Arabidopsis thaliana: one gene and its partner. The protein of the gene in region 1 interacts with the protein of each later gene in a pairwise test. Each region holds a gene or a part of one and is shown on either strand. Other genes may lie near its edges. The genes, in order: AT5G52650 and CUC3.

Region 1 (4,278 bases):
CCCGACAACGGTATAATGGAGGAGCTCAGGAAGAGAGCTGAAGCAGACAAGAATGACAAGTCTGTTAAAGATCTTGTCATGTTGCTGTATGAGACAGCTTTGTTGACGTCTGGATTCAGTCTTGATGAACCGAACACTTTTGCTGCTAGGATTCACAGGATGTTGAAGTTGGGTCTGAGTATTGATGAGGATGAGAACGTTGAGGAAGATGGTGATATGCCTGAGTTGGAGGAGGACGCTGCTGAAGAGAGCAAGATGGAGGAAGTCGACTAAGAGATGAAGAAATTGCTCTTATGGTTCTGAAAACTTCTAATATGTCGAGTTGTTCTGAGTTTTAAGATTTTCCAAAATGTCTTTGTCTTTTTTTTTATATCTTTAGAGTTACTTGAACATTGTGACTACTTCTAGGGTTGGGTTTGTGTCAGGTCTGTTATATCGTGTGGTGGGTCTGTCTAATACTGATTCAAGTTTTTGTTATTCAGCTAAGGAACTTTTCTTGTTTCTGAACAAATCTTTTGGTTCCCTAGAGTAAAACTTGACTTCCAAAAGATAGACTTCCTAAGATCACTGGAATAGATAGGAGTGACAACTTGACGTGAAAGGTAGCTTGGCTATAGTAATTTTAGATCTGACAAAACGAGATCAAGAAGTTAATAATTTTCACAACACCAATTTGTTATCGCTTAAAGGTTGATTGATTTGTTCAATAGGGGGAATCATATTCTCGCATGCTCGAAAAGGGGAGAGAAGATGGAATGAACATAACTTTAAATCGGATGTTTGATTCAACAACAAAACTAAACTCAGATAGAGATTATGAAGGATTCCGGAATCTGAATTACAAAAGCAAAATTTAAAGCTGAAAACTCCTCCATGGTCTTACTGTCACCTAAAGACATTTCTTTTTCAAGGCAAACCTGAACCAGATGGTGCAGCTGCGCTGTAGCCACCAGCACCACGGCCAAAACCACGGCCACTTCCCTGATAAACAAGAAAGGATGTTAGAACAATGGCAACCAAACAAAGAGAAGGCGGGTAAATCAAATCACAAGGCAATTATATAACTATAGACTTTGAAACACTTCACAGCTAAAGTAAAAGATTTATGTTCCTTGTAACTAAAGTGATAAAGAGAGACTAAATATGTTCATGGTTTCTCAGGTTCAGGAGCTCTATGATAAAGACTTCAAGAGTAGCACATTATATGACGTTGGTGAGATAGAGAAGTAAATAGAAGGTATGGTCAGTGAGAATTTACTTGGAAAGATGGCTGGTAATCTGCGGGAGCTCCACCCTTTTCACCTCCAAACTCACCACCAGCTCGAGGACCTGCACGGTACCCATCACGGTCACCAAACCTGGGACGGTCTCCTCCTTCATGGCGAGGTCCTCTGAAATACAAAGAAACCCAAACCATGTCAAACAAATTAAAAAAAAAAAAAGTTTTTGCCAGACATGAAATGGGTTAAGCAAAGAGTTAATCACCTTGAGCGATCACCAGGTGGGCCACCAAATGGACGACCACCAGGCTTAGCTGACTTCTTCAAAGTAGCAGGAACAACATCAGATGGAAGATTAAGATAAGTTCTCAAGAACTCGATCCCTTCATTGGTCAAAAACCAATAGTAATGCATCCAGGCAAATGTCTCCCTAACATACTCCTTGGATTTGAAACTCTGCATAAGCTTAATCACTTGTAGGTTGGGGACATCGATCAACGGATGCTTAGCAAGATTGAAATCCTTCTTCGCAAAGCAAACTCCTTCTGCAAAAATCATAGAACATATGATAATCAACACAATGTTCACCTTCTAAGCCAAACATCATAATTGCTACCATAACTAGTTAACCTAAACTAGTTCAAAAATCACAATGTTCATCGGCATAAGCCTAAAAATGAATCAATTTACTCACAGAAGCTGAAGAAAACAGAGATCTAAGAACAAATTTAAGAAGAACGAACCTTTGAAGAGGTACTTGCAGATTTCTTTGCGGTTAGCCTCTGAGATAATCTGAGAGCAAGAAGGAAGAAGAAAATGGTCAAAATTCAACGAAACAACATTCTGAGACACCGGAGAATATGATGAGAATAGAGAAATAGATCAAAAGCAGAGCTTGTGTGTTACCATTGTATCGGTAGGAGATCTTGCTCGAGCAGAGAGTCGCACGGAACTTCGAGAGAGCAAAAAACTAGGGTTTTCGCAGGACTAGAGAAGACGATGACTTTATATGCTTTGTTTTGGGCCTATAATGAGTTCATTAAATATGGGCCTTAAGTTTGGGCAGTATCGGAGACTGAGAAACTCAAAATGATCTTGTCGAATTGAATTAAGAATTGGGGGTTTATCAAATTATTTGATGATAACTATATTTAATATTTTATTAACCAATACTTACACTCGTTGTATTTATATTTACGATGGTTTATCCTCTCTTTTTTGAAAAGTTTATATCTTGTAAATTTTGTGACATACGTTTAAATATTATTTACTATAACTTTGATTTTTTTTTTTTTTTTACTATAACTTTGATTACTTTATATATTTTTATCAGATTAGTTAATTCTATAAATTAACATATATTTTTATTAATTACATATATTATCTTGTTAAAATAATTTCCAGTTTAATTAATTTATTTGCTCCATATTGTAACAAAAAAATCTTTGAGAGATAAATGTATTTTTGTGTTGTTTCAACAAAAAAAAAAAGAAGATAAATCTATTTTTGTGTCAAAAATTTGTTATGAGAAATTGTGACATATGTCGAAAGAGATTGTGAAATTGAGAGATAAATGTACTTTTATAGATTATTTAACAAAAAAAATCAATTTTCAGTAATATATATAGAGGTTGATGAGCAAGCGAGTTTGTAATCACATTCTTGTCCATCATCTTCTCTTCTCCTTCCAAACTTTTGAGTTTTTCAAAAAATGGTTAGTTATTTTTCTTAGTAAACCTATTTATGTGGTTATATAATAAATTCACTAAAGCTTTAGTTTTATTTCATTGTTTGTAGTCGATGACGATTGTATTCAAGCATCCAGGATATCCCGAAAAAAAATGGCGAAAAGGATTCAAAATTGCAGGTGGTTTTCCAGGTACAAACCTACACACACCCAACAATTATATTCAACAAACGAATTTTGAACAATGTGAATGATTGTCATCTTTTTATTATTATATTAGGAGTTGATGTCATAAGTTGTGGTATCATGGACGACGTATTTGCAGTGAAGGGAGAAAATATTGATCAAGATAAGTTACTGGAGAAAATAAAAAAGGTTTTAAAATCTGTCGAAATCATTGATCACACCAAATACCCTCCGGATTATTTTTTCTATGATTTCTAATAATGATGTTTATTTTTCTTTGGGCAAATAATGATGTTCATTTATGTTTTCATATTCTATCAAAGTAATTGGATTTGGTGTAAGTCTTAAGATATATTAGTCCATTCTTATAAGTTGTAAGTTATAAACTTTTTGTTCAAGAAGATTGATTTTCCTTGGATGCATAGTCGAGAGTATGCCACTAAAAATAGCTTAACCATATTGGTCTACACTGTCACCTTATTTCTTCCTCTATAAACGAATTAAAACGAAAGCATACAACGCTATTATGAGATTTGATTTGGTCTCCCATCAAAGAGACAGATACATACTTTAACAAAAGCTCAAAACAAATTTGAGAGAGGGAATGGTATATGATTACAATTCTTGTTTAAAATATGATTAATAACTTCTTCTAGAAAATGTTTTATATGCAAACCAGTCAAACCATCATTTGATTTACATCTATTTAGAAATGTATTTATCTATTTCATCACTAAGAATGTGTTTTATCACCACCTCCAAAATGTGTTTACAAACAAATGAAGCCAACTACAAATTATTGATCTTGAAATCTGTCGAAATCATTGATCACACTGAATACCCTGCAAATTATTTTTTTTATGATCTCTAATAATGATGTTTATTTTTATTTTTTACTTTTATTTTTCTGAGGCAAGTAATGATGTTTATTTATGTTTTCATATTCTATAAAAAAAATAATTGGATTTGGTGTAAGTCTTAAGATATGATCAAATTAAAATATATATTAGTCCATTCTTTATAAGTTATAACCTTTTGATCAAGAAGATTTGATATTCCTTGGATGCATCTTTTCTTATAGTCGAGAGTATGCCACTAAAAATAGTTTATCCATATTGTTATACAAATGGTCACAGTCACCTTATTTCTTCCTCTATAAACGAATGAAAACGAAAGCAAAGACAA
Region 2 (4,834 bases), on another chromosome or scaffold:
AAAAAATAACAATTTTGAAAAGGATAAAAAAAGAGAGTCACAGAAATATTATCAGAGCTATAAAGATTATAGATCCCCTGACGAAAAATAATTTAGATTGTAAATAGTACAGAAACTATATATAATAAGCATTTAATAATGGATAGGCTTAGGTAAGCCTATGCAAGTACAGCAGGTTTTGAATTATTGGATGAAACATTTGTTTCAAATATTAGATTTTAATTTTTATAAATCTATTTGTGTAATACTTATATATATATATATATTTAAAAATGAATATTATAGGGTTGTGTAGGGGTTAGGGTAAAAGAATGACTTGGGAGATTTAACATAAGATCGTGTGGGCAGTTAATATTTAGTGAGATAGATAGATAGTGTAGTACGTTTGCATTTATTATCTTTTTACCTGATTCTTTTGTATCATTCTACACACACGTGCCACCGCCGACACCTGCTATCTTTCTACTGTTTCATTTTAATTTTTATCTTACATTTTTGTCAAACATTTAATATCGACAATATGAATTAAAAGTTTTTGTTTCCAATTATTTTTCTCACAATAATTTTTTAAATAGTTGTGTTGAGACACTTGACGAAACTCATGCTTTATGTATTGTTGGTTTACTATAAACCGAACATGTTTGCTTCGTTTTTTTTTTTTTTGAAAAAATGATAGTAAAAATATGTGTCAAAACCGAAACACAAACAACCTTATATTCCATTTTTTATTATGAGGAAGAGTATAGAATCAACCGAACCAACAAAAGAAACAAAGTGTAATACACAGAATTGAGTTAACCGTTGGAGAAAGTGGTTAAAGGAAAAATAAGGAAACGATCGAAAGGAATTGGTATATATCTGAGGGGAGAATGTGTATAAAATAAAAGAAAAAAAGGTCTGACTCATGAATGTATAATGATATGCTTACACCCGCACGCATAAACCTCTGCCATCTTTTTACTGCACACTCTTTTCCTTTTCTCTTCTTTAAAGTCAATTTTATTTGCTGATAACCACAAAATGTAGCAATTTTAGATTACATTATTTGTTTCACATTTCTTGAAATCTGAAAACTTTTAACTGCGACTGCAATTGTTTTGGTTGAGAAATCGATCGACTTGGAGTATGAGATTACCTTCTTATCAGTGTCTTTAGTATAACGGTTGCATTGCATATATATTTCCTCTCAAACTTTAATGATATCAGTTCAACTAGTCTGGATCAAATGTAATATTGATACTTTCCTTGAAAACACATTATTTGGTGCGTGGGAAGAATGATCTTAAAGAGATGATAAAGGGCACTAGAGTTTTGGTTTTCTTTGTAAAATAGTGTATTTATGCAAAACTCAACATTATATGGATGTTTGCATTATGGTATTTTTCAACTAATATACACCCAAAACAGTATCCTTATTAAACAGCTCTCTCTCTCGTTTTGTTCAAACTAACAAGAGAAAAATGTCAGCTTTTGTTGAAAAATAGATAAAAATTATGACATAAAACCCAAAACCAAAACGTCAACACCATTTATCATAAATTACATTTGTAGTTAGCTAAAGTACAAAAACAACACTGTAAATGATCCATTGACCAATCGAGTAGTCATTAACGAAAGATCACAACTTAACATCACCCAGTCTAATCAAAACTCCAAGACCATAAGAATTTTGCTAAAGCAGCAGTATAGTGATAAACACACAAAACGGGAAAAGTTGTTTTACAATTTAGAATGTCATATACTTTAATTATTATTTGCATAGGGAAAAATAGAAAGAGACTCACTCCCCAGGTGAGGGCAAATAGAAGCCCCTGCTCCCTGAATTTCACAGCCTTTATCATCAATGCTCCTCTAACCTCAAACACTCAAAATCCACACATCTATACACATACCTCTACATACACACTCCATTTTCTCTCTCTATCTCTATTATATCTTCGATTTATGTGCCATTTTGGTATATAAATATATAATCTTGCACACAATAAGGTTATACTTCCCATCACCTTTTGTATCATTGCTATCTTTGTTCTTCCTTCTGGTGTCTCTTCAGTGTAACAAAAAGTCTCTTTTTCAGTTATATTAAGTAAAAGATGATGCTTGCGGTGGAAGATGTGTTAAGCGAACTCGCCGGAGAAGAAAGGAACGAGAGAGGATTGCCACCTGGCTTCCGGTTTCACCCGACGGACGAAGAGCTCATTACCTTCTACTTAGCTTCCAAAATCTTCCATGGTGGTCTCTCCGGCATTCACATTTCCGAAGTTGATCTCAACCGCTGTGAACCTTGGGAGCTACCAGGTAATATATTATACATTTTGTCTCTTCTTTACCTCATAAGTTTTATTTTGGAATCTTGTTTTTAGTTGAATATTTTGATAAATCTTTTAACAAGAAAAAAGTGTAACGTTTTGAAATTGTTGTTATATGAAGAAATGGCGAAGATGGGAGAGAGAGAGTGGTACTTTTATAGTCTAAGGGACAGGAAATATCCGACAGGTTTGAGGACTAACAGAGCAACTACTGCTGGATACTGGAAAGCTACCGGCAAAGATAAGGAAGTCTTCTCCGGCGGAGGAGGACAGCTTGTTGGGATGAAGAAGACGTTGGTGTTCTACAAAGGTAGGGCTCCACGTGGCCTCAAGACTAAGTGGGTCATGCATGAGTATCGCCTCGAAAACGACCATTCACACCGCCACACGTGTAAGGTAAATTAACACTCTTTTACTCTCACTCGTGCGTCTCACTCTCACTCGTGCATCTCTTTCTTTAAAAAAATTTGTATTTTTTCTCTTGTCAATTTATGAGTTGACTTTTTGAAACCAAAAATTTTATACTACTAGTGTGTGAAACTAGTAATTTAAACCCTGTTACTTTTATTCCCACACGTCCATTTCTTATAACATTAAATTCTTTTTAACTTTGCGAATGTAATAGAAATTTGATGTTTTTGTTCTCCATTAATGTGTTAACTTTTTAAATCCACAAGTTGAAAAGAAAGGTTTAACGAAATATTTAACTTTTTTTTTCCCATTTCATGTGTTTTGTTTCAATAGTATTGTCACTATGTTGTTTGGCTTAGTATGGGGAGGACAGGGGAGAGAGCAGTTTAGATGTGATAGATTTGATATAAACCTGTACGTGTGGTGTGGATGTCAACACCAAACACACCTTGCCGTTTTCTGTTCACCGATACACTGTTGTGTCGTTTTCCATCACTATTGCTTTCTTTTGTATCCCACCTTTCTAATTACATTTATCATTATCAGAAATCAATTTGTCAGGCTCACATTTCAAACAAGATCTTAAGGTGTAGGCATTATATAATGTGTAATAACATGTTTTGGTTTTTCATTTCTTTTTGGTGGAAATTCACAGGAGGAATGGGTGATTTGCAGAGTGTTCAATAAAACAGGAGACAGAAAAAATGTTGGATTAATCCATAACCAAATCAGCTACCTTCATAACCATTCACTCTCAACAACACATCATCATCATCATGAAGCCTTACCTTTGCTTATAGAACCTTCCAACAAAACCCTAACCAACTTCCCATCACTACTCTACGATGATCCACACCAAAACTACAATAATAACAACTTCCTTCATGGATCATCAGGCCACAACATCGACGAGCTCAAAGCCTTAATCAACCCTGTCGTCTCTCAGCTCAACGGTATCATCTTTCCTTCAGGGAACAACAACAACGACGAAGACGACTTCGACTTTAACCTCGGCGTGAAAACAGAGCAGTCTTCGAACGGTAACGAAATTGACGTACGAGATTACTTGGAGAACCCTCTGTTTCAGGAAGCGAGTTATGGTCTGTTGGGTTTTTCGTCTTCTCCTGGACCTCTTCACATGCTACTAGATTCTCCATGTCCTTTAGGATTCCAGCTGTAGAATCTTGGCCCTTGGATTTTATATTTGGTCTTTTCTTATTTTCACCTTCTGTAAAATACAAATTATATAAATTATTATTCCTAAGATCCAAAATCTTTTGTCGAACAAATTTCTTAAAAGTTATGTGGCTGATTGCTGTAGCCTTGCAGGTAAAAGCTATTATTGTGTTACAACTTTTGATGAACTGTATTTTGTGGGCGTTTCACTATTCGATGTGATCTCATAAATACCAATAATATTTGCAACTATTCTGACGTCATTCTTGTTTATTTATTCTTTTTTGCTTTTGATAGACTATCCCTCATATTCATTTTTTTTTGTTTCTTGTTTTGAAGATTTTTTTTTTTTGTATGAATTGTGTTCATAATTTTGGGACTGCAAAAATGACATTTTCTGTTACAATGCTAAATTGGACCGGTTAAGCGGGCTACAATGTCTTTGTCAGTTTGGTTTACCTGCTTTAGCAAGTTTGGTCATAGTTTCGGACTATGAAGCCCATCACCAGCGAGGCCCAGAAGTTGACTTTAACTAAATATTAAACACCAGCGAGGCCCGCTGATAAAATAATATATAACGAATTATGAAAACTAATTTAAGTTTGAAAATAGATGGTAAACGCCTAAACGAGTAACAATTGTTATGTGGTCTTATTCTTGATATATGAATGATCGATAAATCAAGATTTTCAGCTTTAAAATATAATATAAATTCATGATGCATTCACATATAAATTCCCTAACATAAAATACTTAGTTTATTAGATATGTAGTCTTATTCAAGCGTGAAAGTTCTAAAAGAAATTGGTTTCTGCTCGTCAAATTTGAATTTGAACATTACGTTGCCTTCAGATATTGTCAACCGATGATGATTTTTATTTAACTGTAACACCACTACCTAGGTAATAAAGCATTCATGGAAAAAAAAAAACTAATGT

The links.
Region 2: the proteins of AT5G52650 (region 1) and CUC3 interact in binary tests that used the Arabidopsis thaliana proteins (3 or more experiments, as listed by UniProt).

The regions. Positions count from the first base shown.
Region 1 is NC_003076.8:21,354,875-21,359,152, forward strand, and holds AT5G52650 (RNA binding Plectin/S10 domain-containing protein), read right to left. Parts: upstream 2,346-4,278; 5' UTR 2,130-2,345; coding exon 2,127-2,129; intron 2,013-2,126; coding exon 1,964-2,012; intron 1,766-1,963; coding exon 1,486-1,765; intron 1,392-1,485; coding exon 1,259-1,391; intron 982-1,258; coding exon 907-981; 3' UTR 667-906; downstream 1-666. Other genes in the region: HSP90.1 (heat shock-like protein), read left to right, coding at 1-273; AT5G52655 (uncharacterized protein), read left to right, coding at 2,932-2,934, 3,018-3,099, 3,188-3,351.
Region 2 is NC_003070.9:28,671,095-28,675,928, reverse strand, and holds CUC3 (NAC (No Apical Meristem) domain transcriptional regulator superfamily protein), read left to right. Parts: upstream 1-1,883; 5' UTR 1,884-2,093; coding exon 2,094-2,298; intron 2,299-2,430; coding exon 2,431-2,705; intron 2,706-3,375; coding exon 3,376-3,900; 3' UTR 3,901-4,123; downstream 4,124-4,834. UniProt on the Arabidopsis thaliana protein: Transcription activator. Involved in molecular mechanisms regulating shoot apical meristem (SAM) formation during embryogenesis and organ separation. Required for axillary meristem initiation and separation of the meristem from the main stem.